Linked DNA regions of Sus scrofa. The protein of the gene in region 1 interacts with the protein of each later gene in a biochemical or structural test. Links are inferred from orthologs where the notes say so. Each region holds a gene or a part of one and is shown on either strand. Other genes may lie near its edges.

The links.
Region 2: of the proteins of CDC7 (region 1) and MCM2, one has a biochemical effect on the other in vitro, tested with the Homo sapiens proteins (8 studies listed by BioGRID). The link is inferred for Sus scrofa from reciprocal best matches to the Homo sapiens genes CDC7 and MCM2.

What each region holds. Positions count from the first base shown.
Region 1 is NC_010446.5:125,456,560-125,460,834, forward strand, and holds the start of CDC7 (cell division cycle 7-related protein kinase), read right to left. Parts: upstream 2,801-4,275; 5' UTR 2,677-2,800; exon of another isoform or gene 2,110-2,676; intron 2,021-2,109; 5' UTR 1,941-2,020; coding exon 1,826-1,940; intron 999-1,825; exon of another isoform or gene 1-998. UniProt on the Homo sapiens protein: Kinase involved in initiation of DNA replication. Phosphorylates critical substrates that regulate the G1/S phase transition and initiation of DNA replication, such as MCM proteins and CLASPIN.
Region 2 is NC_010455.5:72,629,878-72,632,074, forward strand, and holds the end of MCM2 (DNA replication licensing factor MCM2), read right to left. Parts: intron 2,081-2,197; coding exon 1,898-2,080; intron 1,802-1,897; coding exon 1,646-1,801; intron 1,258-1,645; coding exon 1,147-1,257; 3' UTR 501-1,146; downstream 1-500. UniProt on the Homo sapiens protein: Acts as a component of the MCM2-7 complex (MCM complex) which is the replicative helicase essential for 'once per cell cycle' DNA replication initiation and elongation in eukaryotic cells.

The DNA.
Region 1 (4,275 bases):
AAGCCATAGAACCACCTCCTTTCTCGCCCCTCTCTGACTTCACCCCCCTCTCCTGCCGTCCTGCAGCTCCGTGAGCAGCTGGCCCTCTCTGAGTGCTGGGCACACTCCAGCTTAAGGTCTTCAAACTCGCTGATTCCTCTGCCTGGGACGCTCGGCCCCAGACACATGCACGGGCAGTTAACCCCGTCAAGTCGGAGCCCAAATGTTACCACCCCAAACCTCCTCGGACTAAAATCACAATTTTCTTCCCCAAAATGTCTTGGCACTCCTTCCCTTTGCATTGTCTTCACAGCACTAATTATGTTTGAACACACTATTTAATTTTTATTTTCTATCTCTACTACGACTTGAGGGCATTGATTTTTGTGCATCGTGAACTGATGTGTTACCAGCACCCAGGAAGCTGCCTGCACTAACAGACATTTAAGAAATATTCACCATACGAATGAAATGGTTTCAATTTCTTACCAAGCAGTAAACTGACACTCTAGAAATATATGTCATGCTTATTCTGGGGCTTCATGTACGGCCTAAAATCAGGTCTCCTGTAACAAGGGAGATCATACCATTTAGCCCAAATTGGGACACTCTGAGAATGAAAGGGGGCGCTAAGAATTACACTGTGACAACAGGCATAAACTAGACCCGTCTCGGGCAAACCAGAACACTACCTGTAACCCGTCTTAGAAGTGTGGGCCAAGGGCATCCAGATAGCACCCCGCAAGCAAGCCTTCTACTCAACAGTATGGAGGAGACACTCAGTGCACACAGAGTTTATACCTCATTCTTTCAACTCAAAAGGTTTTATCACTTATTAAACTTGGCATACGGCAGATACTTCAAAAAAAAAAAAAGTTTGCTGAGAAAAGGAAAGAATAAACATTTGATTTAATACTATGCCAGATACTTTGTTCACTGCAGTGGGTTTTTTTCCCCTTCTGTTTTTAGGGCTGCACCACAGCATATGGAAGTTCCCAGGCTCCGGGTTGAATCAGAACTGCAGCTGCCGGCCTACACCACAGCCACAGCAACGCCAGATCCTTAACCCACTGAGCGAGGCCAGGGATTAAACCCTCGTCCTCATGGATACTAGCTGGTTCGTTACTGCTGAGCCAGGTCGGGAACTCCCAAAAATAATATTTTTGAACAAGTACTAAATAACGCTTAAGACAAAGATGGAAAAAAAGACTCAGCTACATTTAGGAAAAAAGAAATACAACCAACAACCAACTGGAACCCCTATTTAACCAATATTTATTAAATGCCTGCCTTGTCCCAGGCACTGTGCTAGAGCAGGAATAAAGACGCACATTACAGAATGCAAACTCAGGCACTGTTTGACCCTCTCTCTCATTTCAAGGTCAGGCTAAGTGGCAAATAAAACTTCATGATGTACACTGAGATACAGTCCCTAATTATCACTGCAAACATTTCATTTACTTTTGTCAGTGAATACTGCTGCTGCATACTTAAACCAAAATCCCACCAACGTCAATTGCTAAATCCAAGCTTAATGCAATATAGTGGTAGAAATTCTAGAAGAGAAATTCCCGTCGAGTATCAACAAACTTTGTGTTCTTTGACAACCAGGAATATTTAGACTAGCAACTTCATCTGTAAAATGGTATGGTTAGACGACAATCCTCCCAAAATGCAATCCAATTCCCAAACTAGACCTTAGAAAGTTTTACTGATTCATAAACTGCTCCTATTTAAATACACAAGTCACTTGAAATTTCAGGAAGTGTTCTGGGCCTTGTGTTTGTTTTTTAATAATAGAAATTACAGAATTGTTGCCTGTACATCTTTGGAAATAAACACATACCTGGTAGTTTAAAATTCTGCTCATGTTTTTTTAATGAGCCATCCGCCTGAAAGCGGCCATGCAGAGGAGAAAAAGCCATTGGTTCATCCATCTGAACCCCCAGAGACGCCTCCATCACAAAGCAAGTGGGGTGCAAAATGCCAGCTAAGGGGTCATGTCCACAGGGGGAGCAAAGCAGCTGTGAAAATCAGAATTCTGGAGCAGGTGAGAAGTTTATATCACTCAGTGAACTAAACACTAAAAAGTGCTACTGTCCCCCAAGGGGCAAACATTTAAAAACGCACCGTAGGTCAAAATTCCCCAAGGAAGGGGAAACTTGAGCCATTTCTAAGGATTCCATTGGCTTTACTTTCACATCGCAGAAAAAACCAGCAGGGGGCCGAAGGGAAAACCGCCCGGCGACGGTGGGACGGGGGCGCCGGGGGCTGCAGAGGCTGCGACCCGGGTCGGGGAAGCCTTAGTGGGGACAGCGGTTCGAGCCGAGGGAGAGGCTGGCAGAGGAGAGCGCCCGACCACTGAGAGGGGGCGCCGGGGGTCCGTCCAAGGCCCCACGCAAGTTGGTGGAGAACTGACACGACCTTGCTCGCGAGCGCCCGGCGGGGAAGCGGGCATGAATGGGATCCTTCCGGCAGCGCGGGTCGCGCGCTGCGCGGGGGGAGACCCGGTGCCCGCAAACCCGAGACCGCACGGGACGCTGAGTGCGCAGGCGCACGACTTTCCCGCCGCAGGTCAAAGGGGTCCGAAAAGTCGGGGGGGGGGCACTGCGCTGCGACAAAATGGAAGTCACGATCCAGAACTCGTTTCTAATCCCTCACGAGCCCGCGCCATGGGACAAACCGTCGGAAACTCACGGTTTAAAGGAATACGACTTCCGTGGCTCCCCAGAAGCCTAGGTTGCCGCTTCCAAGAGCGCCCACCTAGCCAGCCGGCCAACCGCGCCTGCGCAGCGCTTCCCGCCTCGCCGCCTCGAGTCGCACATGCGCAGTGTGAAGCCGGCGCGCCGCGGTTTCTGCGCCGAGCGCCTGCGCAGGGGGTGGGTTCCTGCCCCAAGGCGGAGGCTGGTCCAGGAACGGTTGCTGATGGAGAGCCGGGGAGTGATCCTTCGCTGGAAAACGGTGACCCCTAAGGTTAAGGATCTAACAGCACTCGGAGGAAAGAGAGTAAGTCAGAGACAGCAGAGTCTCATTCTCACCTAGAGAGACTTTGGACCCTCCGGATAAAAGACGTTCACTTTCTCGACTCCCAGCTTTCACTTCTTTTGGTGGAATGCCCCCACCTGTCCGTTCAAAACAAACAAACCAACAAACAAAGGCAATTGCTAGTTGTTTGTGGCTGTATTCAAAGAAACAAGCCCAGTGACATTCTCACTGCCACTTGGTCAGTCAGCATATATTTGAGCCCTTGGCTCTGAGGCTGGCTTCGAGAGGCTGGGGTTACAGCGGAGAAGACGCCCTAGAAAACCCCGCCGTCCCTTTATGAAGCCAAGTTCCAGTGAGACAGTGACAATAAATAAATAAATGAACAACATTCTTCTAGATGTTGATAAACGCTCCGAAGGGAATAAAGTGGAAGGACGCGATCGTGACAGAAGGAGGCATCGTGTTGGGAGCCAAATGGGAAAGAGACTAGTTGGCCAAGGGTAGATCAAGTGCAAGGGTAGGATATCAGCTTAGTAAGTTGGGGGGAGGGAGTTTCACAGAACACCAGCATCAGGCAGGGCCACTCTGTGACCTCGATATGATGGATCAAGACAGAAATAAGGTCATTCTGTAATCTTGTCTAGATATAGACCAAATGTAAACATTTTGTCAAGCCACAAAAATGAGCAAACATTTTCTTCTCCTGGCTAATGGGAGCGACTGCTGCTTCTTTACTAATTAAAATTTTAGCCTCTGTAAACACTCAGCCATTCTAGATAGTACTTATTAAAATACACAATTATAGATTTACTCCTGCCTTCCTACAGCTCCCAATAAGTCCCTCTTCCTTGAACCCATCCCTAAATCATGTAACACAAACCCAGATTTCTAACACCCTCTTACTGAGATGCTATATGGTTGTCCCTGGTGTGCATTCTCACTGAAACCTAACTTGTTCAATTGCGGTTCCTCCTGCTCTTTAGCTGGAGGGCATTGACAGTACTCAAGTCCAAGGTGTCTACTAGATAGCTAAGTGATAATGTCAAGTGAACAGGTCTGGAATAGAGTCTAGGCTAGAGACATAAATTTGGCAGTTATGAGTTTATGCATGAAACTTAAAACTTTGGGACTAGATGCTATTATCAAATCAAAGATTATAGATAGAGAACGGGGCTATGGGTATCCCCACTCTTTCAGAGTTGGGCAGAGGAAGAAGAAGAGCCAGCGAGAGACTGGGAAGGAGTGACCTGTGAGGTAAGAAGGTGATGCCATAGTGATCAAGAGGAGAAAGTTTTGCAGTTGGAAGGAAGG
Region 2 (2,197 bases), on another chromosome or scaffold:
TCACCCCAGTGTCCTTAGCTGGCTCACAAGTAGGCACTCAAGCTTCCAACAGCAGTTGCCACTCTGCTCTCAGCAGGCTGATCGATCACCCAGCCCCATGGGGACTACAACTTGGCTGTCTAGATTCAAAGTTACCTGTGAAACTGTTTCCCTCTTCATTAAAAGGAAGCTCTCCATTGTCCCTGGACCTCAACCTAGGTCTCCAGCCACAAGCTTCCAGGGAGAGGCCAGTGCAGTGCCAGAAAGAGCAGGGCTGTTCCCCAAGGCCCAGTCACCTCCAGGCCCTCTGGGTGCACCAGTATGTGTGAGCCCCCGACTCCAGATAGACACACAGACAGCAACTGCCAACTGAACTCCCCAGGAAGACCCACACCCACAGACAAAACCACTCTTCCAGGCTGACCTACACCTGCAGAAAACCAGAGGCAGGAGACAGGGCAAAAAGGGAAGTGCAGGGAGGCCTGAGGCACAATGCCAAAGATGTAAAGTTGAGACCAGTATTCAGATTTTACTCCATTTTATTAAAAACTAAAACTACAGGAAGGAGAAGTGAATGTACAAACAAGAGCATGGGGAAGTGGCCAGGCAGGAGGACAGACTACCCCACACAGGGGCCTTGCTGGGATCACCCCCACCACGAGTCATCATCCCTGACCCCAACCAACCTTCCCTCTGGCAGAAGCCAAGGTTGCAGGGCTATGTGACCAGTCAGGGTCCCCTCTGTGAAGAACCCAAATGCTGCCTCTACTCAGGAAAGCCTAGAGAACCGCAGGACCCAGTTCAGAACACACAGCAAGTAAAGTGACCTCGCTCTTCGTTCAGGCAATGGCAGCACAGGCAGCAGGACAGAGACATCATGCCAAGATTGCCTCATGAACCCCATCTCCCAGAACAGACCCTGGGTGTCCTGAACACATGCCACACCACCCCACAGAAGGAGGTTGGTGGTGGGCCACTGGCGGGCAGCTGAAAAAGCAGCTCTGGGAAAGGTGGTAACCCAGATGGCAAGAGCAGAGGAAATGAAATCACCAAGCAGGACTCGAGAGTGAGGAAACATGCAGCTGCAGGCCAGCCACACCACCTTCCCTCTAGGACTGGCTTGGTTTCCTGAGCAGACCTGCCAGCATCACACAAAAACCCCGTTGCTCAGAACTGCTGAAGGATCACCTTCCGCTTCAGATCATGGCTGAACTTGTTCATCCTGAAGAGCTCACTGTCGTAAAAGGCAGACAGATTGTGGATGTTGATCTGACGAGCCTGAAAAGAGGGGTGTGCAGTGAGCCAGGAGGACTTGCTGCCCAGCCATGGGTGGCAGGGGCTCCGTCTCCATCACGGGGAGGGTAAACAAGGCCAAGTAAGTGGCTGGAACTGGACACGGGGCTTGAAAGCTTAGTGTGGACAGCTGCCTGTGAACTTGGACAGGGGTGTGGCTGCCCTGTGCCCGGGCCCTGCAGAACGGGTGACAGTAACAGGACACCCAGTGACTGGCTGCAGGCAAGGTCGCAGTGTGCAGAACCAGGCTCAGCACAGCACACACATCCGTGAAGCGGCCCTCAGCCCTGCCTGGCCACTAAGCACAGAGGATGCTCTGCCCAGGTGACCTGCAGCCCCAGGCCGCCCAAGCTCCCTTCTGGCCACACCCTACCTTGTCCACCAAGTCCTTCTCGGGCACTTCAATAGTGTCCTGCTGGGCCCCAAAGCGGCTGCGCTGATAAGCCACCTGCTCAGCCACCAGCTGCTTCAGGATGAAGAGCAATAGCTCATTGTTGTCCCGCCGGAAGGACAGGTAGCGGGCGAAGGTCTGTGGAGAGAGGTGGAGTCAGCCAGCCCACAAGCACTCAAGGCCGCTCCAAGTAAGATTGGGTCCGGCCCCGCCCCCATGCCGTGGCGCGCCCACCTTCCGCATACTGCGCATGACGCTGAACTTCTGTGTATCCACGAAGCTCTCCAGCATCACGCGGATGGCCATGTTGACATCGTCCTCCATCACGTAGTCCCGCAGGTGGATGCGCGCGTGGGCCTCAGCCATGCGGATCATGGACTCAATGTGCCGCACTGTGATGGGGATGCTGCCTGTGGCCTGCAGAGAGGGTACCTCAGGTCTCCCCACGGAGGCACCCCAACGGAAGGGGCAGTGCTGACGCCCCATCAGGGGCTCATCGGACTGAGGGGCAGCCCCACCCTGGGCCGGGTGAGA